4 linked regions of the Caenorhabditis elegans genome follow. The protein of the gene in region 1 purifies or fractionates together with the protein of each later gene. This does not show direct contact. Each region holds a gene or a part of one and is shown in the gene's direction. Other genes may lie near its edges. The genes, in order: dap-3, catp-8, str-207 and C35A5.4.

What was found.
Region 2: the proteins of dap-3 (region 1) and catp-8 fractionate together in Caenorhabditis elegans (co-fractionation; one large-scale study listed by BioGRID). This does not show direct contact.
Region 3: the proteins of dap-3 (region 1) and str-207 fractionate together in Caenorhabditis elegans (co-fractionation; one large-scale study listed by BioGRID). This does not show direct contact.
Region 4: the proteins of dap-3 (region 1) and C35A5.4 fractionate together in Caenorhabditis elegans (co-fractionation; one large-scale study listed by BioGRID). This does not show direct contact.

What each region holds. Positions count from the first base shown.
Region 1 is NC_003280.10:10,577,800-10,584,189, forward strand, and holds dap-3 (Small ribosomal subunit protein mS29), read left to right. Parts: upstream 1-3,333; 5' UTR 3,334-3,334; coding exon 3,335-3,544; intron 3,545-3,595; coding exon 3,596-4,330; intron 4,331-4,375; coding exon 4,376-4,472; intron 4,473-4,521; coding exon 4,522-4,607; 3' UTR 4,608-4,720; downstream 4,721-6,390. Other genes in the region: rpb-6 (putative DNA-directed RNA polymerases I, II, and III subunit RPABC2), read left to right, coding at 1,581-1,994; dohh-1 (Deoxyhypusine hydroxylase), read left to right, coding at 2,179-2,246, 2,292-2,677, 2,727-3,169; mrps-22 (Mitochondrial Ribosomal Protein, Small), read left to right, coding at 4,831-4,913, 4,967-5,144, 5,282-6,277.
Region 2 is NC_003282.8:11,471,465-11,481,910, reverse strand, and holds catp-8 (putative manganese-transporting ATPase catp-8), read left to right. Parts: upstream 1-2,659; 5' UTR 2,660-2,678; coding exon 2,679-2,763; intron 2,764-2,821; coding exon 2,822-3,075; intron 3,076-3,123; coding exon 3,124-3,840; intron 3,841-4,322; coding exon 4,323-5,114; intron 5,115-5,816; coding exon 5,817-6,819; intron 6,820-7,162; coding exon 7,163-7,359; intron 7,360-7,403; coding exon 7,404-7,543; intron 7,544-7,658; exon of another isoform or gene 7,659-7,877; coding exon 7,878-8,130; intron 8,131-8,182; coding exon 8,183-8,278; 3' UTR 8,279-8,548; downstream 8,549-10,446. Other genes in the region: nse-4 (Non-structural maintenance of chromosomes element 4), read right to left, coding at 1-147, 194-353, 421-694, 743-949, 993-1,058; mbf-1 (HTH cro/C1-type domain-containing protein), read left to right, coding at 1,759-2,070, 2,118-2,276; wht-2 (ABC transporter domain-containing protein), read right to left, coding at 8,600-8,740, 8,787-8,981, 9,028-9,117, 9,355-9,624, 9,666-9,873, 9,934-10,073, 10,121-10,383.
Region 3 is NC_003283.11:4,948,260-4,954,567, forward strand, and holds str-207 (Seven TM Receptor), read left to right. Parts: upstream 1-3,474; coding exon 3,475-3,663; intron 3,664-3,714; coding exon 3,715-3,802; intron 3,803-3,846; coding exon 3,847-4,060; intron 4,061-4,180; coding exon 4,181-4,322; intron 4,323-4,368; coding exon 4,369-4,776; downstream 4,777-6,308. Other genes in the region: str-209 (Serpentine receptor class r-10), read left to right, coding at 676-867, 1,773-1,860, 1,909-2,122, 2,177-2,318, 2,367-2,765.
Region 4 is NC_003283.11:10,494,099-10,501,326, forward strand, and holds C35A5.4 (Major sperm protein), read left to right. Parts: upstream 1-2,934; 5' UTR 2,935-2,986; coding exon 2,987-3,196; intron 3,197-3,269; coding exon 3,270-3,452; intron 3,453-3,734; coding exon 3,735-3,793; intron 3,794-3,836; coding exon 3,837-3,988; intron 3,989-4,254; coding exon 4,255-4,379; intron 4,380-4,426; coding exon 4,427-4,636; intron 4,637-4,692; coding exon 4,693-4,773; intron 4,774-4,816; coding exon 4,817-4,885; intron 4,886-4,941; coding exon 4,942-5,040; intron 5,041-5,087; coding exon 5,088-5,153; intron 5,154-5,196; coding exon 5,197-5,226; 3' UTR 5,227-5,318; downstream 5,319-7,228. Other genes in the region: ugt-33 (glucuronosyltransferase), read left to right, coding at 927-1,037, 1,079-1,218, 1,295-1,527, 1,579-1,715, 1,766-1,988, 2,034-2,307; C35A5.3 (Major facilitator superfamily (MFS) profile domain-containing protein), read right to left, coding at 5,388-5,492, 5,539-5,692, 5,735-5,845, 5,890-5,970, 6,222-6,430, 6,476-6,817, 6,868-7,095, 7,145-7,228.

The sequences.
Region 1 (6,390 bases):
ACTCATCCTTTCCCTTCTTGGTGAAAGTAACTTCATTCCCGTTTTTCAGTTCCGTCGTGATGTGAACGCTGTACTGATAGAACAACGAGTCCTGGTGCATCTCGATTCCGAATACGTTGGTTTGTATTTCGGCCTCAACGCCACATTTTCCTGGTTCAGTCGGTGCTGGATACAGCTTTGCAGCTGGAGCGATCTGAAATTTAACAAATTAGAAGGTTATGAAACCGATTAAACGTACATTGAGCTCTTCCAGTCTCTTGATGCAAGCGTCGTTAGACGTCTGATACTCCGATCTTAGCGGTTGAGTTGGAACTGGAACTGGTGGAACGGCAGGTGGTGCGTGGACGCTCGATGGAGCTCCAGAAGGCGTGTAGACTGATGGAAGGGCTGGCATCTTTCGATTTTGTCCTGTAAATTGATAATTAAAAGTAGTGTAGGAAGTATAGAAAAAAATGCGTTGATATATCAAGGAGGTGCGACATTAATATTTGAAACAAAAATATAAAAATAACACACAAAACGAGCATCGAAAACGACAAATTCCGCGAAAAAGGGGAAAAGAAAATACGAAATTGAAAATCGCGGTAATGTTTCGTATCGGTATAGGTTCAAAAGTGGTAGAATTACATAATTTATTACTAATAAATCCGTTGAATGATAAAAATGATAAAGCTCATATATTTAACATGCGACCTGCCGGTCCGAGAGTAAAACGAAGAAGTGACGATTTCCTTGCGCGGTGTCGACGTGTTGGGGTTTGATGTGCATGTGTGGTAGTACTGTAACACTCGTGACGTGTGTGTCTTTTGGCGCGGCTTTCAAACAGGAGTTTCCCGGCTTTGTCGTTGTTGATGACTTCCGTGGATTGTCGTGAGCATTTAGAATACGGAAAGACTTCGTAATAATCATAATAATTCTTTAATATTTCCTTGACGCATTTCCTGGGTATTAATATCATTTCTTAAGTCGTGATCGGCGGAATATCAGTATTCTGCGTATTCGCGACACTCCCGGCCCCTTCAAAAATGGCTTATTATCAGCTCGTGATACTAAGCAAGACCCGACCATTTCCGTTACCATTTTACTTCTTCATTTCTGTGTTCATTTGCTTTTGAACCCCTTACTATAAAAAGTCGTGATAGGATGAATATGTATATTCTCCTTCTTCGCGACAGGTAATCCTAAAATTCTGGGTTACTGTAGGTGACTTTCGCTGTGAGACCTTCACTAGAATTCAAATTGCCTCTCACAACGACGTTCCACCGTTACGCCTTGCGTCTTGTTTAACGTAAATCCACCTGAACAATTTCGTAGAACCAATTTTCTTTCTTTTGCTTTTTTGCTTTTCCTGAATGGAATAAATTGAAAATATCTTTAAAAGTTTTAATATTTAACAAATTGATAATTTTTCACTGTTACAATAATCTAATGTTGAATCATCCGTGTAGAAATATCTTTAGGCCTGGTTCTGTATTGATTTTCCTATTTATATTTGTATCACTCTTGTATTTCATTTGATTATCGGTTTTTTCTTATAAATGTTAAGAAATAACTAGTAAATTCAATTTTGCAGACTCAGAATGGCCGATGAGGACGATTATCAAGATATGGATAATGATGATTTCGTTGACGACAACGAAATGGAGGACGTGATCGAAGAAGATCCACAACGCCCTGACAATGAGGACGAGGACGATGACAACGTGGACGAGAATTTCGAGCTTTTCGATCAAGGAAAGGCTGTTCCGACTAGTGAGCATGTGACAACTCCATTCATGACAAAATACGAACGAGCTCGAGTTCTTGGCACTCGCGCTCTCCAAATCGCCATGGGAGCTCCGGTTATGGTTGAACTTGAAGGAGAGACCGATCCATTGGAGATTGCTCGCAAGGAGCTTAAACAACGCCGTATCCCGATCATTGTCCGCCGCTACCTTCCAGATGGATCATACGAAGACTGGCCAACCGATCAACTTCAACTCGCTGATTGGTAGAGAAATGTTTCTCTAATTTTTCCTCATTTTAACTGTTTCACCTTTTTTGCTCTCCTCATTTCTGATCTTACACTCTCATTTTTATTTTGTTCCGTTCGTATTATTCTCTTTCTCTCTCCTTGTTGACAATGTTATTTGAAAATTAATGAATAAAATTTTAGATTCAACTCGAACAACGGGAAAGATGGTCGCTTCGCAAAAGTTCTCTGATGCCGAAATCGACAGCTTTGGAGAGGCATTAAACGACACAAAGTAATCTTGTAGATTTTTTTCCAATTAATAAATGAAAATTTTCAGGAAACCTCTGAAAGCTCGTTTCCGAGCTCTATTTATTCTCCGGAATATTGGATGTGATCGTTCTGTTGACTGGATTGGAAAATGTCTGAATGACGAATCAGCACTTCTGAAGCATGAGTTGGCTTACTGCTTGGGTCAAATGCAGAACAAGCACGCCATTCCAACACTTGTGAGTGTTCTTGAGGACGAGAAGCAAGAGCCAATGGTCCGCCATGAAGCCGGTGAAGCGTTGGGAGCAATTGCTGATCCTTCAGTCAAAGATGTCCTCCGAAAATATGCACAAGATCCGTGTCCAGAAGTTTCCGAGACATGCCAAATTGCATTAGGAAGGGTGGAATGGGTTGAAAAAAGTGGAAAGGATACCAACAGCCCTTATGATAGCGTTGGTAAGCGATTCAATTAAACATATTTTGCTTATAAAAGTTTAATTTGTAGATCCAACACCATCAGCTTCAACATCCGACGTCGAAGAGCTCGCAGCCACTCTGATCGACGCTTCACTTCCACTTTTCGACAGATATCGTGCGATGTTCAGTCTAAGAAACATTAAGACAGATAAATCCATCAAAGCTCTTGCTCAAGGTCTCTACTGTGAAGATAGTGCTTTGTTCCGTCACGAAGTCGCATACGTTTTAGGACAACTTCAGTCGCCTGTTGCCACTCAAGAATTGAAGGATCGTCTTCTACTGTCAACTGAAAATTGCATGGTCCGTCACGAATGTGCTGAAGCTCTTGGAGCAATTGCCAACGAAGAATGTACGGAGATTTTGAAGCAATACGTCAATGATGAGGAGCGTGTTGTTCGAGAAAGCTGCGAAGTTGCCTTGGATATGGCTGAATATGAAAACAGTGATGATCTACAATACGCTCACGTTTAATAATTTTTTGTTGATTTCCTCCTGTTCTTGTTCATTGTTTTGTTTTCCAGTTTTAATTAAAAATTTCACCTAGTTTGTGATCCAGTTTCTAATTCAATTTACGTTTTGTCGAAATTTATCTACTTTTACCAGATTTCTCCCGGAACTTCAGACAAGTTTTACAGAATGAAGCCGTGTGGAAACCTAATGTGCCAGATCGCTCGCCGACTTCCGGCTCGCCAGCTGCATATTTCGAGACGATCCAATTCCCAGTTAGCAGATGTTGGAACTCTTTCCGAAATTGAGATGCCAGTTGCCAAACAGCTTAATATGAGAAATCATCTGCCAGCTCCACTTTCTAAACAGATGGATACGTTGGGAGAAGTTGTTACCTTGGTTAGTCGGCGATAATCAATGGAATATTATATTCAATAAATATATTTTCAGATCCGAGAACCAATGGCAGAAGTAGCAAGCTGTATGCGAGTTGTGGATAAAAGTCTTCCAGCTCTTCGCCTCGTGTTATGGGGAGCTTTCGGAACCGGAAAGTCGGTTACTCTCAATCAAGCTGTTCATCATGCTTATAATAATAAATGGGCAATTGTTCATCTAAGAAGTGCAATGGAGCTGACAAGAAGAGTAAAAGAAATTGAGATGTCATCTTTTGTACAAGGCCGTATCAATGATCCATCGAATTCTGTTTCTATTCTCCAAAATTTCAAGCAACAAAACCAACATATCTGGAAGATTCTCGGAGAGTTGCTCACTGAAAGAGATTATGAATGGTCGAAAAGTGAACGAACGTTGAAAGGAAAACCTATCACTGAAATTATTGAAATGGGAATCTCTGCTCCGTTCCTTGCCAGTGATTGTGTTGGTGCAATCTTCCGAGAGCTCCGACGCCACGCAAAAGATGACAAACTGAAGGTTCTAGTGGCGATTGATGATGCGAATTCTCTGTGGGGAAAAACTTTGGTGAAACGAGCTGATAGAACCTATGCACCACCTTCGGATCTTACTCTTGTTGTACATTACCGGCGAATGATCGAAAATGATTGGACTAATGGATGTGTTCTGATGGTTGCAGATAAGAAAGAGGTTGCAGACGCCAGGGATCATCTCGGAGTCTCCAGGCACACTCCATTGGAATTGTTTGGAGAAGAAGGATTTGAATATGTTGAGGTAAAATTGAAAGCATATATATTATCTTGAAAACTAATTTTTCAGCCATTCGTTCCAATTGAAACGTCAAATTATACGGAAGCCGAAACAGATGCAATCTATAATTACTATGTGAACAAGAACTGGTTAGCATCAAAAGCAGGTGAGAGACCGCCAATCCCATTATATTGCAATTTCCAAATTGTTTGCAGCTCGTAGCGAGGAAGGAAGGAAACAACTTATGCATCTCAGCGCATTCAATCCATATTATTACGAGAGGCTTTGTGCGTTCAACTGATTTAAATCATTATAATTTACGTTTTTTGTTGAGTGTTTCTGTTTTTTTTTAATTTTTAGGTCTCTAGTTTTATTTGTTATGAATAGAGAATGAAAAATAATGTTTTTATTATACAACTGGCCATTGTTTTTGTTGTTCGTTGTTCCTGTTCTGATCGGGATTTCATATTTATTCTCTGTATCTTATTCTATTTTTATTCATCAATTTCCAGATCCAGATCTCCATGCTCCAGCTGAAACCTCGAGTTTCGGCATTAACCCGGCTTTCAGCCGAGGTTCGATCTGCATCGCAATGGATCAAAGCAAGGTATTTGAATTTTAAATTTTGTAAAATATATATTTAATATGATTCATTTTCAGTAACTCTAAAACACCAGACGACATCAATGTTGAGAAACTCTTCGTTGAGAAGGAAGTGCAAAAGCTACTGACGGATTTAACAGAAATTGATTTGGAGCACAAAGTGTTCAGACCGCGAAGAACTTCGATTCAACAAAGATCTCATTTCGCTCTTATGACTGAAGAACGACTTGAAAAGGTTTGTTTGAAAATGATTTATAATTTACCGCATTTGTCGATTTACAGTCGAGTTTCTGATAAACTTGGATCTGCTAGACTAGAAACTACTCACCAAAATGAGAAGCTATTTATTCAATTTGACTTATTTTTTTCCAGACTCGAGAGCGTATGCGTGAAGAAGCTCGCAGATTCCTACAATTTGTTCCAGTGAAAGAACCTCGCGAGGAGAGTGTTCAGATCCTCGCCAAAGATCTCGAATTGAAGGATTTTGACACTAGCAAATTCGTATTCACTGATATCACTTTCGATGCGACCGACCAGGATCGTACTGTAGTCGTGAGAGAACCCGATGGTACATTGAGAACTGCGAATCCAGAAGAACATGATCGAATGAACAGAACTTATTATCAAAAACCGAATCGTTCTGTGAATCCTCCACCACTCTTCTCGGATCCAAATCTACAAAATGCTCTTGATAAGAATGATCACGAATTCGTTCTAGACTGGGCTTGCTGGTTTTACGAGCCTGACGATCCGGCCTATGTTCGTTTGAGTCAACTCGTATTTGATCGTATCAATGAATCTGGTAAATTCCATGTCGTAACCTCAACTCGTCACTTTGGACCATTCACTTTTTATTTGGCACTGAACGATAACATTCAGAAGCTTTTGAACTATTTTGGTGGACTTGGAAGATTATCCGACTGTGCAAATCTTGTGAGACTTCAGAAGGCTGTTCGTCCCGATTGGAGAGTTACAATTGCTCAGGGAGATTCTGATGAGAAGATTGTAAAGGATTTTGCGAAGCAGAATGCTCGATTCCGAGATGAAATTCAGGATCTTTTGAATTTTATCAACAATGGAAAATTGAAATCAGATCAGGAGCAGACGGAGCACGTGAGGGAACGATTTGGAGTACGAGTGGACAAGAGAAAAGCACGCATCACTTCAGCCAATATTCGTGGAGCCGATGGACCACTTGGTGATTTGAGCAGTGAATATTCGGTGAAAGTGGTGAAGAGTGAGGGAAGTGGACGTGAAGGAGGAGGAGGTGAAGAGAATAAGAAAGATGAAGGAGGACGTGGTGGTGGAAAAGGACGATGGAGAAGTAGGGAAAAGAGATCAGATGATGATGGAAAGAAAAAAGAATGATGCTTTCTAGATAGAGATTTAAAGTGAAAATTGAAATAATTTTTGTATTTATTAGGATTTTAGCTATCTATTGTTTTTTTTCATTGTTTGTTTTCATTTTATTCTTTTTTTTT
Region 2 (10,446 bases), on another chromosome or scaffold:
GAGATTGAAACCTCTTCACTTTGAACGTTTCTCGCCTTATCGCTTACTTTGACAAGTGCTGCGGGTTCTTTTCTCTTCGCACCTCTCTCAACCTTCTCGCGGATCTTTTTCTGTTTCTCAACACGTTCAACATCAACTAGTTGGACACTGAAATAAAAATAAAAATATAAATTACAGAAACATTCCAACGAACATGAAATCGCAACCAATATTAAATGGATAAACTGCAGGCTGAATGAATTTTTTATAATGAGGAGGACCATCATCGTCTTTTTTCGAGCTGCTCGCAAAAACCAGCTCAGGAGTCAGACGGTGGAATAGGGCAAGGCGTGAAGCAAATCTATGGTTTTCCGCTGAAGCAAACATATAAAGTTATGTTTAATTTTAAATCAATTTGAACTAAAAATTTAGTTTCCTTACAGAGTCGGGCGTCTTTGTACATATCGTCGTACATTTCATTGATCTCATCCATATTATCATCGACAATCCATTCATCGCACCAGTTACTTTTATCCACTGTATGAGCTTTCACAGAAGTCTCGATTTGTTTCAGAGCATCTCCAATTTTATTTCCAGCATCAACCGGGTCAATTACAGCACCTCCATTTATTTCGAGAAGAGTCTCACGCGTCGTTTGACCGACAAGTTCTAGTAATTCAGTGTCCGTTGAATAGAGAGCGGTGTTTAGAGCTTTCTGAACAAAAAATACAATTACTAGAGGTTTTCAAAAGTTATGACCTACTTTTAGCGGTTTCGATTGTTCTCTCAAACTCGTAACAGCAGATTCCAGTTTTTTAATTTTAGAATCGACAGTTTCAGATTTCCGAATATGGGCGAGCTCGCTTATCTGTTTCTTTAGCTCTTCGGCAACGGCATGATTCTCTCTGCATTGCACCGTTGCACTTTTCTCCTCTCGGTTCCGAAGTTGCTCGATTTTGTCCGCTGTAACCTGAAATAATGTTACTTTTTCAGATCGCATCATCTTTGCTAACCGGCTGTCTACATAAATTGTCCGCAACCATCTTTGAACTCATGCGGCGAGGATCGATACCATCCATTTTATCCCTGAAAACAACACTTGATTTTATTGCTATATTGGAATAGAGTTTTCTGGTTTTCATGAGTAGATTATTTACGATTACTCCTGAGAATGTAATTTGATAAAGCTTTAAAAACGTTCTGAATAGAAAAATATCAAGGAGAAGGGTTCAAGAGAGTGAAAATGTTGCAAAATACAAACAAATTGCAAACAAAAAAACATGATTTTGAAATTCGCTCCGCAATTGCGCGTCACAGTGTTTGCACACAAACCTCATGGCTCCGTGGAACTTTCTCGAAAAATAAACGATTCTCTTTTTGTTTTTGGACTGAAATTTTACGTATTTTCTGAGTGTTTTCTTTTTTCTTGAAATTTGAATAATTTTTATGACAATTGTTCATACAGAGAGCAATTACGTGTTCAATCGTCGATTGAAAAGAGTTCTTCCTTCCGTCTGTCAAGTTTTAAATGTTTTTTGAAATGGCACAAATAAAACGTTTTTTCGTAGTCCATGATTATATATTCTGCCACTAGTAAGAATGAAATCGTTTCATTGTTATTAGTGTCAGAATTTAAAAAAAAACTGAAAATATCGTTGAACATTAATTTATTTGCTTCCTCCGGGATCATATTGTGCAATATTTCATCGTTTCTGACATACTATAAATACAATAACTTCCTTTCAGAACAAGTCTCCAACAAACTTCCATCTTATCAAAATGTCCAAGTATGGCTGCCCAACCTCTGACACTGATCCAAACTCGGTCACAATGATTACGAAGCGAGGACCAGTGAACAAGACATTGAAATCGGCTGCTCAATTGAATGCTGCTCAGCGTGCTGGAGTTGATATTTCGACCGAAAAGAAGACGATGTCTGGTGGCAATCGCCAGCACAGCGCCAACAAGAACACTCTGCGGCTTGATGAAGAAACGGAGGAGCTTCATCACCAGAAAGTTGCTCTGTCCCTCGGAAAAGTCATGCAGCAGGCTCGTGCCACGAAAGGTTGGACGCAGAAAGATCTTTCAACGGTTAGTTAATTTTAAAATGAGATCTTTAATTGAACATTTTATTTCAGCAAATTAATGAGAAGCCGCAAGTAGTCGGCGAATACGAAAGCGGAAAGGCTGTCCCAAATCAACAGATCATGGCAAAAATGGAGCGTGCGCTTGGAGTCAAGTTGCGCGGCAAAGATATCGGAATGCCATTTTCAACAAAGCCACCAGCGAAGAAGTGATGAACTAATAATGTTACATCGAATAGGTCCAACTCCTGGTGTCCCCACTTTCCCGTCTATTTCTCTCATTCTCCAGCCCCGAAATTCTCTTACCGATCCCCGCGTCTCCTGTTTTCTTGGGTATCTCTTTCCGTCTGGCCTCTCTTACCCGTACCTTATCATGGTTTTTGTTCAACATTATTGCTCTTTTTGTTATATTTTTGTATTTATGCTAAATTTATTTTCTTTCTGTACAGAAACGACGCAGGAGAATCTGAAATAAACGTATCATTTTAAATCCATGACTGTGACATGATTCAACTCTCCCAACGTTTCCATATCGTTTACAATTATACTTTAATTCAAATTCGCATTGTTTCTAAATACAAAAATCGATTTTGCAGGGTCCTGTAGCCCGGAAAGATGGGTGTCGACCAACTAGTCGAGACTATTATACCATACAATTTAAGGTCTATAGCAACTCATTTATATGTTCCTCCTTTTACAAGTGAGTCAAAGAATAAGTTAATGAGATGGAATTTTTAAAAATAAATATAATCTTTCAGTAATCACTGCAATCTGGACATATGTCTGGCTCAATATTTTCGGCTATGAAGAATATTATGAACTTGGAATGTTGGGATATGCAGCAATTTTTGTGATTCTTGCACTAGTTCTTCTTTTCTGTCATTGGATGATGCCTGTTCGATGTTTCCTCATGTGTTCAAAGCAAGAAGATGTTCGTATTGCTTCTCATGTGTGTGTTATCCCTACACAAAATAACGGATGGCCGGAATTAGTTAAACTTATGAGAACAACGGTTAGTCACAACTATTTAGAAACATTTTCTTCAAATGAATTATTTCAGCGTGATAAACAAACAAAGTTATGGTTCGAATTTCAAAGAGTTCACTATACTTGGGATGAAGAGAGCAGAGAATTTCAGACGAAAACTCTTGATACTGCGAAACCAATGGTTTTCTTTCAAAAATCACACGGATTCGAAGTTGAAGAGCATGTTAAAGATGCTAAATATCTTCTCGGAGACAACAAAACTGAAATGATTGTTCCACAATTCTTGGAAATGTTCATTGAAAGAGCTACAGCTCCATTCTTCGTCTTTCAAGTGTTCTGTGTTGGATTGTGGTGTCTGGAAGATATGTGGTATTATTCACTTTTTACACTTTTCATGCTTATGACATTCGAAGCAACACTCGTCAAACAGCAAATGAAGAATATGTCTGAAATCCGGAATATGGGAAATAAAACGTATATGATTAACGTGCTCCGTGGCAAGAAATGGCAAAAAATCAAGATTGAAGAGTTAGTGGCCGGAGATATCGTTTCAATTGGAAGAGGTGCTGAAGAAGAATGTGTTCCATGTGATCTTCTGCTTCTACGTGGACCCTGTATCGTTGATGAATCGATGTTAACTGGAGAAAGTGTTCCACAAATGAAAGAACCAATTGAGGATGTTGAAAAAGATAAGATCTTTGATATTGAAACAGACAGCAGATTACACGTTATCTTCGGAGGAACCAAGATTGTTCAGCACACAGCACCAGGAAAAGCTGCAGAGGGAATGGTAAGATTTTGAAAATACAACGTTTTTAGAGTCACCAAAAATGTATTTTATATTTCTTTAATTTTTGGACATTAGATATATTATTCCCAAATTGGTTAAAAATACCGACTTTCGTGATCATACATTGTGAAAATTTCTTTTAAAAAGTTATGGCGGTTCAAATTTTTGAGAAAAAAACTTATTTTCAGTTAAATCTGATATATTTTTTTTCAATTTTTCAGCGTCGCAAATTAATTTTTTAAAAATTATCACTCTGTTGACTAAAAAGGCATTTCAATCAACGAAACAACGCGTGATAAATTGCCAAAATACTTCCTTCCGCGACTTGTACACAAAATTTGAGATTTTCGCTGGAAGTAATTTTTTTTCATCAAATCTTTGAACCAGGCCATTTTGAACCTAATGAAGCCTGTGACCAAATTTCTGTACTCCATCGTTAAGAAAATGAGAAAAAGGCATATTCTCAGCTAAATAATTTGCAGGTAAAATCACCGGATGGAAACTGCATCTGTTATGTAATTCGAACTGGATTCAACACTTCTCAAGGAAAACTCCTCCGTACTATCATGTTCGGAGTCAAGAAAGCAACTGCTAACAATTTGGAAACCTTCTGTTTCATTCTTTTCCTTCTTATTTTCGCAATTGCCGCTGCTGCATATCTTTGGATCAAAGGATCAGTTGACGAGACTCGGAGTAAATACAAATTGTTCCTTGAATGTACACTTATTCTCACTTCTGTTATCCCACCGGAGCTTCCAATCGAATTATCACTTGCTGTCAACTCATCATTGATGGCTCTTCAAAAATTGGGAATTTTTTGTACAGAACCATTCCGAATTCCATTTGCCGGAAAAGTCGATATCTGTTGTTTTGACAAAACAGGAACATTGACAACTGACAATTTGGTTGTTGAAGGAGTTGCATTGAATAATCAAAAAGAAGGAATGATCCGAAACGCAGAAGATCTTCCACATGAAAGTCTTCAAGTTCTAGCATCTTGTCACAGTCTCGTTCGATTCGAAGAAGATCTCGTTGGAGATCCATTGGAAAAAGCATGTCTTTCATGGTGTGGTTGGAATTTAACAAAAGGAGATGCTGTAATGCCGCCTAAAACAGCAGCCAAGGGTATTTCTGGAATTAAAATCTTCCATCGTTATCACTTTTCATCGGCAATGAAGAGAATGACAGTTGTTGCTGGATATCAATCACCTGGAACTTCTGATACGACATTCATTGTAGCTGTCAAAGGTGCTCCAGAAGTGCTCAGAAATATGGTAAGAATTTTATATTTTGTCTCGACAGGACAAATCTTTGTCTCAAAAAAAAAATTGTCTGACTTATCATAAAATGGAAAGCCAACATTTTTGATTTTCCAGAAAACCATAAGAAACATATAATTTTCTCATTAAAAAAAAAATGAAAAATGGCCAAAATTTTGAGCTAATTTTTGAAAAATCGAATGTTTGTTATCGAAAAATTGGAGAAACAGAAAATCAAAAATTTTGGTTTTTTAATTCTTAATAATAAAAAACGAACAATTTATATTTTTTCGATTTTCCGGAGAAAATTATCCATACAATTCAATTTTTATCCTATTTTTATTTATGTTGACGAAAAATGAGAAAAAAACATGAGAAAACACAATTTGTTTCATAAAATAAGAAAAATAACCAAGATGGTAAGCTATTTTTGGAAAGTCAACAGAACGAAGAACGAAAATGTTCGATTTTTAAAAAAAAATCATCGTTGTTGAATTTGTATCGATTATTTCTCAAATTTTGTTCAAATTTATCTGTTTTTATAGCTTTATTTTAGTTATTATCATTTTTATTAGAAAACTATTAAAATCGATGAAAATTCCAAAGCAATGCGTTTTAAATTACAGTTTAAAGGCGCGTACTAATTTGCATTTAGTATAGATTTATAGAAAACTTTCACATCTGCGTAATAGTCATTTTCTAAATTTCTATTTACAGTACGCCGACCTTCCATCTGATTACGACGAAACGTATACTCGTCTGACTCGTCAAGGATCTCGTGTTCTTGCTATGGGAATACGTAAACTTGGAGAAACTCGAGTTGGAGAACTTCGCGATAAGAAACGAGAGAATTTCGAAAATGATCTCGCATTTGCTGGATTTGTCGTCATATCGTGCCCACTGAAGAGTGATACTAAAACAATGATTCGTGAAATTATGGATAGTTCTCATGTAGTTGCAATGATTACTGGAGATAACCCATTAACAGCTTGTCATGTATCAAAAGTTCTTAAATTCACCAAAAAGTCATTGCCGACTTTAGTTCTTGATGAACCTGCCGATGGAGTTGACTGGATGTGGAAATCTGTTGATGGAACTATCGAATTGCCGTTGAAACCAGAAACAAAAAATAAAATGGAGAGAAAAGCGTTCTTCAATTCTCACGAATTCTGTCTGACCGGTTCAGCTTTCCATCACTTGGTGCACAATGAGCACACTTTCCTACGAGAGCTTATTCTACATGTTAAAGTATTCGCAAGAATGGCTCCAAAACAAAAAGAACGAATTATCAACGAGTTAAAATCATTAGGAAAAGTTACTCTTATGTGTGGAGATGGTACAAATGATGTCGGAGCTTTGAAGCATGCTAACGTTGGAGTTGCTCTTCTAACAAACCCTTATGATGCAGAGAAGGCCGCTGAAAAAGAAAAAGAGAAAAAAGCAAAAATCGAAGAAGCTCGTTCACTCGTTCGCTCAGGAGCTCAATTACCACAACGACCAGGTGCCCCAGGAGCACCTCCAGCGGCTAACGCAGCTCGTCGTGATGCTCCTCCTGGAGCCCGCGCGAGAGCTCCCCTACCACCAATGGCTAATGCTGCTCAAGCCCGACTAGATAATCTAATGAAAGAGTTGGAAGAAGAGGAAAAAGCTCAAGTGATCAAGTTGGGTGATGCCTCAATTGCTGCGCCATTCACCAGTAAATATACATCGATTGCATCCAGTGAGTTTTTCAAACAATTTTACCCAGATTTTTGCGCTAAAACTACAGAACCTATGGTCTCGACATGACAACTTTTAAAATACAAACGGGCGCGCGCCTTTAAAAAGTACTGTAGATTCAAAACTCTTGTTGTTGTAGAGTTTTTTAATGAATAATTTTTTAACGAAAAACTATGAAAACTCCGCAGCAAAAAATGTTTAAAACTACAGTACTCCTCAAAGGCGCACACGTTTTTACATTTGCCAAAAATTTGTCGTATCGAGACCGGGTACCGTATTTATTACTTTTAGTGCAAAATGTTGTGCCTCTGTATAATATCATTCACTTCTCAATTTTTTTTCAGTTTGTCACGTCATCAAACAAGGTCGTTGTACTCTTGTTACAACTCTTCAAATGTTCAAAATTCTCGCTCTCAATGCTCTTGTTTCTGCTTATTCACTTTCTGCACTTTATCTGGATGGCGTTAAATTCAGTGATACCCAGGCAACTATTCAAGGACTTCTTCTTGCAGCATGCTTCTTGTTCATTTCAAAATCAAAGGTTTTTTATCTAGCTTATTGTTAATTTTTATGTTAAAATTCCAGCCTCTGAAAACATTATCTCGTCAACGACCAATGGCGAATATTTTCAATGCCTATACTCTTCTGACTGTCACTCTTCAGTTTATTGTACACTTCTCTTGTCTCCTTTACATTGTCGGACTCGCACATGAAGCCAATACAGAGTAAGTTTTAAAGAAAACCTGAAAATGTGCAGAAAATTGTATTTTGCTGTCCAGCCCTAAACCATATTCTTTATAAACGCGAGTTGTATCTCTCCGGCGGCATTGCCGTGTGGTCGAATGGTTAACGTGTGCGCTTGTCGCCCGTTAGTCGCTGGTTCGTGCCCGCGCTGTAGAGTTTATGGCGGATAGGAACCAGGTCATGTTTGTACGTGATTTGGGCCGACATCCCCGCCGAAATAGTCCTGCGAAGATCTAAGGTCGCTTCTGGATGGATTTGCCACCGGGTGCACACCATCTTCGTGCACAATTTTGAATATTCAACTTTTTTTTTCAGAAAAGCTCCTGTCGATTTGGAAGCAAAATTCACGCCAAATATTTTGAACACTACGGTTTATATAATTTCAATGGCTCTTCAAGTTTGCACATTTGCTGTCAACTACAGAGGACGACCGTTCATGGAATCTTTATTCGAGAATAAGGCCATGCTTTACAGTATTATGTTCTCAGGAGGAGCAGTTTTCACTCTTGCCAGTGGACAAGCTACGGATCTCATGATTCAATTTGAACTAGTTGTTCTACCAGAAGCTGTAAGTTTTATCCTATAAATAGTGTTCCTTATTCATACTTCTCTCATTTCAGCTACGAAATGCGTTGCTAATGTGTGTCACAGCGGATCTTGTTATCTGTTATATCATCGATCGTGGTCTGAATTTCCTGCTGGGAGATATGTTCTAAATTACTCGTTTTTCTTATTATCCTTCTTCCTTGACATTCCCTATCAACATCTTTTTTCTGCCATCCTGTTGTTTAATTTATTTTTTCGGTTTTATCTTCACTTAGAACCAAAGCTATCGCATGATCTAAGATCAGAAATAGTCATTTCATTGTCGCTGTTTCAGAGCATAATGTTTCTGTGATATATACATTTCTGTTGAAATCTTGCAGATTCATTTACAATGTATTTATTTGAGTCTTTTTTTAGTAATAAAATTATCATCATCATTCAAACATTCAACAAATTTGTAACGAGTATAAAATTTACATCAGAAATTGTTTCTATCGAGCTTTGCTGACTCGCAAAGCTAATCCAGCGTAACCAATAGTGTAGAAGATCAAAATGAATGCAGACATGATGAAGAGATCCGGATAAAACATTTCAGCGCGGAATGACAATTGGGAGAGTACGGAATCACGTTTCTGAAAAATTAAATTAAAATTAACAGCATTTCAAACTGTTTCTAACCTCATCAGTCCAAATAGTTGTATTCTGTTCATTGACACTGCTCCACTGATTGATTGCAAAAGCCTCAAATCCATATCTGAACCACGAGAGATACTGTATCCACGAGATGTATGATGGTAGTGCACCAACATTAGCGTAAAGACCTCCAGTCAATGATAGAAGTGTGAGCATTGGGCCAGCAGTTGACATTGCGATCTGAAAATTCTATGATTTATGAAGTTAATTGAAGTTTTTTACAAACCGGTAAAGACGGCGAAATGCAAGAAATCATGATTCCACAAGCTGAAGAAGATTGCTCAATGAGGAAGGCGATGAGGCATGCGTATAGAACCTGGAATTCCAATTTTTCAAAAATATTATGGAGACGCAGAATAATGCGTATTTCGAAGTTTGGTCCCATTAGGTATTTGGCGGCAAATCCATGGATTCGAAAGTGTTTTGTATTGTTTTGCCGCCAATTAAAAACGCATTTTTCTGGGTCCCCATAATACAGTATTCTCAATATTATGAAAGGAAAATATGACATCTCTGAACTTCAAGTTTTGACTTTTTTTCCTTCAAAAATTACCTGTGTAATAGAACTCGAGAATCCGACCATCCAATATGATACAAGAAGCATAATAAGTCCATCGGCAGTAAATAGTGGAAGATATGAGAGACATCGAGCCACATAATATGAGAAAACAGAATAAAGACCATCGTGATATTCTCTGGAGACTAATGGAAAGTCGGCTGGCAAAAAGTTCAAAATTCCGAAAATTGTAGAGTAGGTGAGTTCACAAACGAGATAAAATAGAGCTCCGTTCAAGTTTGAAATTCCGATTGAGGTAAGTGGGCTCTGAAGAGTACGAGTTTGAAGAATACTTATATTAGAAATACCTGAAGGTACAGTAATCCAATGAAAAGTCCCATTATCGACTTTTGAATTACTTTTGCTCTTGTCAAAGATGGATTTCTCCATGTGTCGATTGCAGATCTTTCGAGAAGAGCACCGATTTGTGTGAGAATACCAGTTTTATGACGTTCCGATGGTCTTTGTCCTTCATCCGACTTCTCAACTCCAAACTTCAAGGTGCGGCCGTAGGAACTGAAATTTTCAATTTAAAATTTAATAAAATCTATATTAAATCTGAAATAATATTCTTACCTATTCTGAAATTTGGTATAAATCACTTCAATTCTCTGACGACATTTATCTTCTTCATTCGGCATTACTGCAAGAGTATGAATAATCAAATCAGCAGGATTGAAGTTACGAGGGCATGCGAAACCTGCGTCTTCGAAAAACTGAAAAATTTAATAAATTTTTGAACTTAATAAATGATGATTATGACCTGAATAGCATCTCTTGGAGAACCCAAAAACGCTGTTTTTCCACCAGCCATGAACATTACTCTGTCGAACATCAGATAAAGTTGTGATGATGGTTGATGAATTGTGCAGATCACAGTTCTGCCTGATTTTGCGAGATTTGAAAGAACTTGAACTACACTTTCGGCCATGAAGGAGTCGAGACCAGTAGTTGGTTCGTCACAGAATAGAATTGATGGATTGGAGAGTAGCTCGCAGGCAAATGTTAGACGACGCATTTCGCCACCTGAAATTAAAAAAAACTAACAACTGATCTTGAAATCTTCGGATCAGAAATGTGATTTCACAA
Region 3 (6,308 bases), on another chromosome or scaffold:
AAGTTTGAGATAAGTAAACGACTTGTTCCCAGACAGACATGGCTAGACTGAAATAACGGATAAATGAAATATCTGGGAATATCTGGGAGAAATATCAGTTGTCTGTTGTGCTCCTCAAAGGCTCAGAAAAATGTAAAAATGCTCTAACAAAAATTTTTAGATCACACAACTGAATGCCATTCGAAAAAAAATTTTAATTTTTTTTTCTAAATTTCCGGTCAACGTTTTAGAAAATTGCCAAAATTTTGAAAAATATGAGCTATTGAAAGAATCCAAAGCAATGTCGCATGTTTCGACCCCTACAATGTTTTCATACAAACAATTAAAAAGTAGGCTTAAATATAAAAAATGTAGAAAAACTTTTTTTTTTGGTCGACTTCCAAAATTATAAGTGGCAAAAACTGAGTAATTGGCACTTTTTGACGGCAAATAAAAAATTATATAAAAAATTTTCTGGAAACGTTTTAGTATTAGTACAGTTTTAGTACATGATTTACTTCAAGTTTTTTTTGTTATTGCATAACGAAATCACAAGACTAAATATTTAAAATCTCTTGTGATCATCGTTTTCTTGTTATGTCGCCATCAAGCTGTTATTACAATTAATAACAAGAAAAACACGGAAATAATGTTGTTTACAGTTTTTTTTTTCAAATATCGATATTTATCGGATAAATGTCGGCTTGGCAAAACTTTCAAAAGCGTGCTCAAATTTTCGGAGTTATTTTTGCTCTTTTGCACAACTTGCTGCTTATTTTTCTGATAACCGAAAAATCGCACAAAGAATTGGGTACATACAAGAACTTGATTATTCTTGTAGCCATTTCTGAATGCTTCTATGCAGTGTTGGAAGTGACAGTTCGACCAGTAAGTTTTATTAAATTGTCTTTGTCGCACTGCAACTTTTTTCGAACGAGGGACGAGGCAAAAAGGTTTCTAGGCCATGGCCGAGTCCCCGACAAATTTCAGCGGCCATTTATCTTGCTTTGTTTTCTGCGTGTTTTCTTTCATTTGTCACCGATTTTTTCCGTTTTTTCTTATCAAAACAAATAAATAAATATTTTTTGCAGATGCTAATACAATTTCCAAGTGCAAAAATTGTGAATTCAGTCGGCAAGTAGCAGTGAAAGTGGGCAATGTAATATGATGGATTACGGCTATACAAAACCCAAACTTTTTCTGAAACATGATATATATGCTTTTAAGATGCTGAAAGTACCTGATTTTCATAACGAGACAGCTAAAAAAGTTTTTAGATTTTCAAAATTCAACATTTTGTGCCAAAATCTCGACTTTTTTACCAAAAAAGTTGAATTTTGAAAATCTCAAAACTTTTTCAGCGGTCTCGTTATGAAAATCAGGTACTTTTGGCATCTAAACATCATATGTATCATGTTTGGGGAAAAGTTTGGGTTTTGTATTCCCGTAATCCATCATATTACATTGACCACTTTCACCGCTACTTGCCGGCTGAATTCACAATTTTTTCATCTGGAAATTATTTTAGCATTAACAAAAAATATGTATTTATCAGTTTTAATAAGAAAACACGGGAAAAATCGGTGAAAAACACAAGAAAACAAAGCAAGTAGAAAATGTCGTAAAATGCGGTGTATTGTGTGCAAACACCGATTTTTCGCATTTTTTCTCAACCCTCGTTCGAAAAAAGTTGCAGTGTGTCGGATGAAATGAACCCGGAAACCCTCAAAACTTTGAACATTACTGAATATATCTAGCTGTATTCGAAGTGATTTCAAAATGTTCTCCTTCAGGTTATTCATTCGTTCGGATTTACATTCGCATTGATAGTCAATGTTGAAGACTCTTTTCTTGAATACGGTGTACTTAAAGTTCTACTTGGTAATAAAAGGTTTTTATTTATCTACAAATAATTTTTCATATTTTTAGCTATGTACTGTGCATTTTTTGGCTCCTTTTTAGTGATTTTCAGCGTTCAGTTTATTTATCGATACTGGGCAGTTAGTGGAAACAAACATCTGAAAGAATTTGAAGGGCTTAGAATATTTCTTTGGACTTTGCCTTCAATTTTTTGTGGTCTTATTTGGTGGCTTGTTGCTTATTTTCCATGTGCTAAGCGGCCAAGTACTGATGAATATTTAAGGTGAACTTTTTTATCTAGAACTTGTACAGTTTTTGGTAATATTTCGAATTTCAGAGATAGTGTAATGAAAGAATTCAATTTGTCGATCGAAGAAAACTTGTATGCCGCTCCGTATTTTTATGAGGTAAACACAGATGGAACTACAGATATATATTATCCATCCTTCATTTCCATCATTCTTACGACTGTTTTAGTTGTATGTGCTTGTAGTTATAATCTAACAAATAATTAATTTTTGTTTAAGAATATCTCTGTTATAACCGTGTTTTATTTTGGCATCAAATGTTACTCATCACTACGTGAACAAGGGGCACTCGTTTCTCAGAATACTCAAAAACTTCAAAATCAGTTATTCTACTCATTAGTTATTCAAACAGTTATTCCATTGTTTTTGATGCACTTTCCGGTTGCTGCCATGTACTGTTTCACATTTTTGGAAATCGATGTTGGTTCACTAAGCGGAATTGTAACAGTTACACTGGCAATCTTTCCCGCAATTGATCCACTTCCAACATTGATTATGGTGAAGAGTTATCGGACAGCAATCCAATTCTACATTTACTTGTTTTTCAAAACTATTACCAAGATGCTTCAACCTTCTCAAGATAACTCTATAGCAATGACTCAGACGAGAGCAATTTAATGTGTTTGATCGAAATTTTTTAAGAATTTTTGAGTTTTTAATAAGTAATAAATATTCTTAAAGGTGGAAATCTTTCGATTACGCAGTCAAGCAATGCAATTGAAATGTCTTGCCCAAAAACTGTCTGAAATTCTTTTCACTGTATCATTTTGTCACATATCCAACACATTATTTCATTTATCATGTGTTACTTTATTTTTCAATAAATCTTTGAAAATCATTGATTCAAAAAATTGCCATTAGTAGTATATAAAAATATGCGCGCAACAAATGCTATTCGACAATTTAGAGAATTTCCAAAAATTCTGATAGTGGCAAAGTTTTCACTTTTTAAGCTGAACGTGTCTCAAACCTTGAAATATTTATTTTCATATAAAATGACTTGCGGAATACTTAATTGGCGAATTACATGAATGGTTCATATGAAAACTGCCTAAATTTACAGCAATCGGTGATTGCATATTACTGAAAATTTCTCAGAAGCCGTGCATCCATGCTTAAAATCTAATTACGTATACATTATTTTTGTATTGACCGCGACTTTTGTTGTTGATACTTCTATCATCAATCCGTCTCATTAATATGGGTGACTGGTATAACGTTGTCTGCATTTTCAGAATAACAACATTGTTTCTGTCTCCAAAGTCATTGGAGAATATCTTGAAAACTAAAAAAATCATAATATCACCGCAATAATATCACTAAGATCATGCTCGACTGGAAGTTATTTCAAAATTACCAGCTGATTGGATCTGTAATTGGATTGTTGCTCAATTCGCTAACAATTTCTCTGGTGGTGAATAAGTCACCTCAACAAATGCGCGCATACAAAAATTTGATAATTCTCACTTCTCTTTTTGAGATTAATTATTCTGTTCTGGAGTTACTAGTGCAACCAGTAAGTGTGGTAGTTCCGAAAAACTCGATGAAATGAAAATAAAAATTTAAGATGTTTCATTCTTTTGGATCAGCATTTGCAATGGTTATAAATGTAGAAAAATGCTATCTAGATCGGAATGTGCTTATGGTGCTTGTTTGTAAGTTTCCTTACCGTGATCGTTCATAGATTATGCATTTTCAGCATTTTACAATGCATTTGTCGGTTCGCTATTGGCAATGTTTTGTATCCAGTTCACTTATAGGTACTGGGCAATTAGCGGTAACATATGGCTCGAGAAGTTCAATGGATTTAGAATTTTGTGGTGGGCATTAGTTCCAGTGTTGTGTGGAGCTATTTGGTGGTTTGTAACATACTTTCCGTGTTCCCCAAGGCCGAGTGCCGATGAATATTTGAGGTAAACATTAAGCTTCATAGAAGGACATTGTTAGGAAAATAATTTTTGCAAGATTATCTAACTGACAAACCCAAGTCACGACAACATGTTGCACTGGATAATTTTTTCAAACTATTTTAGAAACGAAATAATGAATGTCTTCAATCTAGATATTGACAAAAACCTATATATTGCACCGTACTTCTACGAAACCAATTCCGATGGAATCACAGATATCTACTATCCATCATTCATTGCAATTATTGTGAATATTCTTATAACAGTAAGTTAAATAAGTTGGTTCATTTTTATCATCATCCTATTTACAGATAGTTTCATTAATAACTGTATTTTACTTTGGCTTCAGATGCTATATATCACTTCAAAAGATCTGCAAACAAAATGTTTCTCAAAACACTCGTGGGCTTCAAAAACAATTATTCTACTCATTGATTGCACAAACTTTGATTCCATTATTTCTTATGTACATTCCAGGATGCGCGATGTTTTTATTGTCATTTTTAACAATTGACGTAGGCTCTTTTACTGGGATTGTCACTGTGACAATTGCCCTGTTTCCTGCGGTTGACCCACTTCCAACATTGATTATGGTGAAATGCTATAGAAATTCACTTCGATCCTATCTTCGTGTATTCTTGAGTGCAGTTTCTAAAATGTTTCAAACTCCCGATGTACCTGCAAATGTGACAGAGCTTTCAAAAGTTACAAGATTGTGAAAATGAATAAAAGTTTTGGTGTCCTATTTTTTTCGAATCAATAAACAATAAACATTGATAAACATTAAATTAAATTGATAATAACATTAATGGGTGTTAGAATTTAAATTCAGAGTAAACAACTGGTTTGAGAAGTTCAAGGATTTAGATCTCAGCCGACTAAGAGTGTAGCGTGAAGTATATATTTATGTATTTGCCTTTAAAAAATAATTTTCCATCCCAGATATGCATTTTTTCAATAATATCTCGTTCATAAAAACAATTTGGTAAAATATTTCGAAGAAGTTAAATGTAAAAGCGTTAACTTAATGGCAGAGTAGCACCAGTGGGGAAAATATTGAAAATCACTCCAGTGGTGCCAAAAGGACCAAATATGAGTAAAATTTTTCATAAACTTTTGAAACAATTTTTTAAACAGTCAAAAAGTGCCAATTATTTCAATTTTTATACAAAAATGATGTGTAATCCATGTGTTAACCATTTTTACACATAGCAAACATTTGAGTTTGAAATTGTATTCTTGAGAAATACTCAAAACCTCAAAAGTTTACGATTTTATTATCATTTGAGTGTGACGTACTAAATTGAAATGTTTTGTATGTTTTAAAATAGTTTGCAGTTGGTTACATTATTTTTGTATGAAAAATAAAGAATTTTTGTCAAAAATGTTTTTAAAGATTTTTTGACGATCAACAAATTTTTTTTTGAACGAAATAAAACAAAATTTTTGTATTCTCGCATTGTGTACTAAATTAAGCAAAATCCGAACACAAACCACAACTCAACGCTGAAAAGAAACGAAATCGAAAAATGCCTGAAAAAAATGGGTTCCGAGTGAGCAAAAAAATTTGTGACTGTTGTCAAATGAAAGATTATGGTTGATAACATAAATTCCCACAGGTTCATAAAAATCGATACGCAGCGAACACATTTTTCCATTTTGACCAGGAACTTATTTGGAGACCTAATATATGGCTGACTGGGAATTAGTGTCACGTTGTCTGCATTTTCCGAATAACAACAATGTTTCTGCCTCCCAAGTCATTGTCGAGAATATCTCGAAATCTAGAAACTAAATAGCTACCACAATAATATCACTAGAATCATGCTCGACTGGATGGTATTCCAAAAATGTGTTCAGCATCGTAACATTTGTTTCCAAATTTTGAAATTTTATCATCAATGCACAAAAAACTGTACATTTTCTCTGATGATCTGCATTAATCACCAACAAGTCATTGACCGATATTGTGTCTTTTTTGGCGAACTTCTTTGTTATGCAAAGGTATGGGAGCATACAACCAGATATTGCCGGTTTTCGTTACTTGTTGTATTAAATACGGAAAATAACAAAATTGATAATTGTCTCATTACACCTTTTCTTAAATTTTAAAATTTCGAAGAAGATTTGATAACATTTTTGTAATGCATCGCGCCACTTGGATGTTCTTTTGATTTTTCAATTATTTTCTAGCGGAATTTGAAAAATTGCACCCTATTTCGATTTGTCAATAAATCAACTTGGTTACCAG
Region 4 (7,228 bases), on another chromosome or scaffold:
TATTTTTCTCGATAGAATGAAATAGGATAATTTATACTTGGAACTATTAGGTTGGTAAAAAGGTCTTGTCCTATTTTTTATCTGTTCTTGTGAGCCGTAGATCAATTTCGGTGTTTACTCCCTCCTAGTGATTGATAAGCAGAAAAAAGTCTTTGCAGTAATTAACCCCCATCCCTCTCCCTTTCTCTCGGTTCATGTTCACTTGAGATGTATATACTGCAATTCATCTTCGGCATGTTCTGTTATACATGCTCCTGACGCACACCACAATGTAGGATTCAAAAACTCTTCTGATAAAAGTTTATGATGTACCTGCTTCCTTGTGTAAAAACATACAGAGTTGGTTCGATCGTTCCGGAATTAGAGACTTTTCTGTAAATTAAAAGAAATGCCCAAAAGACCACATGAGTTGGATTTGAATGAACTAAAAGCCAGTGTTGAATCGGATCAATTTAAAACTACCCGTGAGCTTGCAAGCACGTTTGGGGAAACATTATATATTTATAGCAGATGTCTTGAAATTGCTCGACATGAGGAAAATACTTGGTCGATTCGTACCTCATTATTTTACCCGTTCTATCCTTGAACGCTGAGTTGATGTTTCATTTAATCTCCTCACTCTCCACGGCGGTGACCGTTGGTTGGGCCGTCTTATTACTGGAAAGAAAAGTAGGTGTTGTACGCTCTCGAATCACCAGTGAATGTGCGATGAATGCGCGACGACCTACGAGCGCAGCAACGTTACATTTTGTTTCTCTCCTAAACTTGTCGTATGTTCCTCGTATATTGGTCGTGTCTCCTTTTTACACTCACAGTTTTGTCGTACATTCCGGACTTCCTCCTAAATGTACGAGGAAACTGCGAAGAATGTACGATGCGAATTGCCGAGATTGTTCTGTTTTTTCATTATTTATTTTTCATTTCAGCCATCGCTGAGTATCTTGGAATTAAAGCTTTATTACCTTCACTTTCAATGACACATCATACACAAATGAGCAGATGGATTGGGGAGCCATCGTCACCAACTGTTTTGCCAAGTAAGGAATTATTCTGAGAAGTAAGAATTATTTTATTTCAGGTATGATTTCCTCATTTGGGGATGACATGAATTTTTGGGAACGTCTTGGAAACACACTGGGAGATGTTTTTTTCACACTGTTTGTTGACATGCCTCGAATGACTTCATTCAGTGATCCAGAAAGAAAAATTGACTTCTATGTAAGTTATACAGCAACTTTTAATTATGTTAAACCTTTGAATGAGATGGTAATACCACAAAAAATCAAGTTTTCAGGAAATGTCAGTCCGCGCACCTTTCATGTTTATGAATTCCAATCCATATCTTGATTATGCTCGACCAATTCTCACTAAAACTGTTTTAATTGGAGGAATATCTGTTAATGTTACTCAATTGAAGCAGAAAAAACTAAATGAGAAATATGATAAAATTATCAGTGAGAGACAGCAAAATATTCTTATTTCATTTGGCTCTATGATTTTCTCGAAAGACATGCCTGATGTATATAAGTGAGTTTTTCTTAATGAAAACTGAGTCGAAAGTTGTATATTATTTTACAGAAATACACTTGTCCAAGTTATCAAATCATTTCCAAATGTTACATTTATCTGGAAATATGAAGAAGATGACGTCAGTTTTGCTAAGCACTTGCCAAATCTTCATTTCTCAAAATGGGTTCCACAAACTGCGCTGTTAGGTTAGTTTTTTTTTCTGATCCCCAACACAACTTGATTGATTGAATTTTAGCTGATTCCCGTCTTTCTGCATTTGTTACACATGCTGGATTAGGAAGTGTGACAGAATTAAGTTACATGGGAAAACCAGCAGTTTTAATTCCTCTTTTTGCTGATCAATTGAGAAATTCAAAAACGTTGTCCAGGCACAATGGATCAATAACTTTGAGCAAATATGATTTGAGCAGTTTTGAAAAGTTAAGATTCGCAATAAACACCATTTTAAACGATGAAAGGTGTGTTTGTGAAAAATATAATTTAATATTTTTTTCACAATTCAGGTATAAAATAAATGCTGAAATTCTCTCACAACAACTTCAAGATCAACCTGTTTCCCCACATGCTCTACTTGTGAAGCATGCTGAATTTGGAGCAAAATACGGAGAGCTGCCAAACCTTGATCCATGCTCTCGTCAGATGTCTTTTATTTCATTCTATATGCTTGATATTATAGTTTTTGTTGGTTTCATATTAATCACAACCACCATCGGGATCGTATTGACAGTAAAATGGATTTTAAAATTCTGTTTCAAGCAAAAACAGAAAATTCAATAATGTTTTATTTGATTTATGTTATTTTTTTGTACGGGTTTAGAATGAACCCTTAAAATAAAATTGGCATAAAATAGTTGATTTTAGATAGCCTAATTTCTCACGAGACATTCCTTCTTAACGGCGCGCGGTTTTACCCAGATGGGTACAATTTATAAATACATTTTTAATGAAAGCAAGTTCATTTGTGCTAGTTTTTAAACAACTTTTAACAGGAAAATGAAAATAAAAAGATGATATTCGCTGAAAACAAAGTGATATATAACAAAAAAGACTACCGTATGTACATTGTTTTGCCCGCCGATACCCATTGAAATAAATCCGTTTTTAAGATGGCATCCCAAAATCTTGTGAAATTACTGTGTATTATACGGTCTCCTAGTCCTACTGCCATTTTTAGATGGTTTTTCGACTTCAATCGAATTATTTATTTAGTAATTCACAAATAAAAACGAGAGAGTGTTGCAAAAAAGAGACGCAGAGACGTTTTAAGTTTTCACGTTTTTTTTTTAATTTTAGAAGACCGTCCTATTATGCCCAGTCATTTTTTTCGATTTTAATTTTTCGCGTGACGATATGGAATTCTACATATCTGAGTGATTTGGAATTTTTTAGAAATTATATTTGTGGCATATTTATTCAATAAAGTATCAGTCATTCCTCAACACTTCCCTGATACAAAATGGCGACTTATTCAAAATCAGGAAAGAAAAAAAAAGTGGCCGAACCTGCTGTTCAGAAGATAAGGAAAAGTCGTGAAGAAGATAAAGCCACACCGTGCTACCTATCAAATGATGGATTCTTGTGGACAGACAATAACCCAGATTTGAAGTTGATCGAGCCACGAATTTTGGTCTCCACCAATTATAACTATTTGGAGTTTTCTAGAAAGGTTTGTGTATGGAATAAATAACACAATCAACTTAAATTTCTTTGGGAAAATCAGCCTAGAATCAAATTTTCAGGCGGATCGTCCACCCGAGCGTCGTGTACTAACACTTATCAATCATGGAGATCATCCAGTTGCATTCGAAGTACAAACTACAGACAATTACTCGTATTTTATTGATGTTGTGCATGGAATCATACCGCCACGTCAGACATCTGTTAACGCTGCTATTCGAATGCCCAATTCTGTTTGTATTCAGGTATATTTTGGTTAAAACTATGGCATCGGTAAAATGTTTTTACGTAATGAAAAATGAAGGTCGTCATCAAATCCTATCAAGAACAAATCTCATAGGTAGCAATACAAATTCTGAATTACCTGCTCAATTTTTATGTCACGTTCTATTAATTTGAGTTTTTCTTACAAATATAAAAATGTTTCAAACTACAAGTATGTTTTCTGGAAAACAAAATTGCGAATTAATGTTAAAACATTAACAAATCTATCGTAAAAACTGTGCGCCTTATAGTATAATTTTCAGGTTTATCACAGACCATATAATGCATATTCGGCAGAAAGACAGAGTGATTTTTTCAATCGGTATGTTTTAAATATTCAGGCAATGTTGAATATATTATTTCAGTCCACGGAAAGATAAGATGTCGATTTTACTGGCTCCTCAAATTTGCCAGACTTTTTCTCCTGAAGCAATTTTCCACAACGAAAGAAGTTATGAGAAATTGCGAATTATGCTGAAGTATACCGGAATTGAAGAAAAGTCAGGAGATGGTAGACGTGCGTTTTGTTTTCTTGAAACCGATAAAGTTTCTCAACAACTGTAGAAACAGTGTAAAAATTGTGTTGATTTGCAAATTTCAACACTATTTTCTATTAATTTTTGAAATATAATAGAGCATTTCACGTAATTGTAGTACGACTTAGTCTTCCACGCGGCTGTTTATTTACAAAAAACGACTCCAAGACGTATGCTAACTGTTATGATTTAAAAAAAAAAAAAGCGTGGATACAACTGTAACTTTAATTTTCCAACATCATTTCAGCCAAGCAGTTTATTTTACACGGAGTTCCTGGGTCGGCCACATGGAAAGATGACAGTGGTATAAGAAAAACGAAGAATGAGCAACAAATGTTGGAGTTTAAGAAAATCGAAAAGACAATCATCCAGGTTTGCTTGTTTTTTCCGATCATTTTTATACACACTTTTTTTTGCAGAATGCCTCAAAAGAAGTATGCGAAGAAATGTCGAAGAAGCCCATAATACGCCGTCCATCGCCACTACGTGCTCGTTCCAAAACTCCAGGATCCAAGGATAACAAAAATCAGCGTGATAAGCGTGAAGGTGGAGTAATGAAGATGTTTCGAAATCTCAATCCATTTGATAGAACTCCGACTCCGACTACAAAGAAGACACAATCGGTTACGGTAAGTTTAACACTTGAAGACGAAGCACAACCTCCTACACAAATTGCATTTTTCAGCCCAGTAATAGTACTCCGTCTCCAGCAAAGCCAGCCACTCCAACAAAAACGCCAACACCGACTAAGAAGCCTGTAGAAAATGTATCACAATTTTACAATATATTTTCAAATTACCATTTTTCAGAATGAGACCCTATCTCAAGTCAAGACAGTTTCCAAGGCACTGTCTCATTCTCCCAAGTCACCAAAGAAGGTTTGGTTTTCAAAATTGCCAGTTTTTCCAAAATTCAAATTTGATAACATTTTCAGAACAGTCAGGAAAAGTCGGCTCCACCATCACCGAAGTTACCACCGAAAACTACAGCACCAACGCCAACAAAAGACGGTGGCAATCATTCTCCAAAAACGGTGAGTTTATTTTCAAGGAACTGATCATTTAAAAATTCAATATTCAGACTAACAAGGCATTAGAGCCGCCGCCGAGCCCAAATCGTACACATTCGCCAAGTGCATACCAACCCGTAAGATATTTGATTACAAATGTGTATGGAATCTTATTTTCAGGCGATGTCTCCGAAACCTACTGGAAAGTAACTCTGTGGATATTCAATAGTGAACAGAAATGTTTGATAATTATTCTTTTTTTTTGTTTCGTATTTATAAAATGAACAGGGACAGTACATTTGAAAATTCACACAGTGAGGTCTTTATAAAGTATATGTGTTTCTCATACAGGAACGTACATACATGCTTCGTCAACATTTCAGGTCTTCAACTGGAACCTCAGTATATGTGGCTTTTTCTGGTTCTGTCCAAGATGCTGGCTGGTCCGTGAATATAAAAACTGATATTGCGTTTGCCTGGGTAATAATTTGATTTAAATTTGAATTTCAACATTGAACTCACAATAAACATAGAAACTCCCAAACTAACAAAAACTGGAATCCATTCCTCTCTATTCGATTCTGTTTCTACAAAGAATGCAACCACAGCAGGAGCTGAGAACAGTGCAAGGCATTTAGTGAATTGAATTGCAGCAATTACAACATGAGCATGCTGTCTGAAAACATGCATCTTAACTAAAAATTTATGTTTATCAAACCTCGCGTGAAGAGCTGCACATTTATAAAATCCTCCAACATTAACAGCAACAAACATCATAACCATCACAATGCAAATAAAACTTTTCCAATTTTCTTCTGATGGAATAAATCTGAAAACAAGAGGATCGAAAATTGAAAATTACATTAGACTTACCCAACTAGTGCAAGTGTAAGACCAGATACTCCGACGGAAATAGTGTTAAAAATTATAATTTTCCATTTTTCAGAGACAAACCTGAAAATAAACTTTTTTTATTAAACACTTTTGAGTGACAGTTTCAAAAAGCATTTTTTAAATGTTCATTAAACCATGGCTGGTAAGCCGGCGTCCGGTTTTTCAAGCGCCATTTTTAACATTTTCATTTTATGTTCCAGATTTTTCAAACTTCCAAAAGGTAGAGAAATTTGACGCCGGATCGTCTAGCATCTGGAAAACTGGACGCCGGACGTCTGGCTTGCCACTTCTAATTAAAACTAAAAACTTACGTAATTCTGTCGCTGAATGCGGCCGATACCAGTCTTAGTGGAATATTGAAACCTAAAATAACAGCTACGTAAAAACCGGTTTCTTGTACCGAGTATTTAAGAACTTGATGGAGATATATCGGCATGTAAGTGGCAAAAAATATAACGGCAGTCATTTCAAAAAAAGCATTCAGCCACACAATAAGTATCACAGGACTTTTGATAATTTTCTGAAGGTTTTGAAATTAAAATGATTTCAATTAATAAACTCTAACCCAATAAGGAATATCTCCATTCTTGTCTAAATGAGCTGCAGATTTATTCTTATGAATTCTTCCCAGCTCTTTTCCAGATATTCGTTTTGAATCTTGCGGATCGTCAATATATATCCATGCCCAAAGTGCAAAAAGCAAAAGTCCTGCAAAGGCATGAAAATAATAGGAATATTGCCAACCAAATGAGCTTTCACAAATGAGTCCAGTTGCTGAATTAGTGATCATTGAAGCTACACCAGTGAAGCATGTAAGAAGAGCAATGAAAAATGCAGTTTCTTTCAATGGAGCCCATCTCACTGTCATTATCCCAATTGCAGCAAAATCAGTAGAATAAGCTAGTCCCTAAAATGTTTTGAAATTTCTCAACTAAAGTGTGAAAAAATATCTCGAACCTGCAAAACTCTTAGAAACAGAAATAGAGTAAGACTTGTTTTTGCAGCAATAGGAATCAAGGCTGTGGAGAAAAGTGAAACCAATCCAGCTACCAAGAATGGCCATTTTGCTCCATATTTCACCACAACCCAATTAGTTGGAATGGTTCCAAATATTGTACCAGCACCAACAGCCCACATTATGTACTTTTTTTCATCGCTCGTATAGTCATAAATGCTTCTCATTGTCTGAAATGGTGTTGTACTAAATGAATAAAATCAATTAATAAAAACTTACCCCATTAACCAAATGCATTTCCGAATTATCTTCTTTCATGCAAATAAATGTAAAATTTATAATAATATAGTTGGAGCATACTGA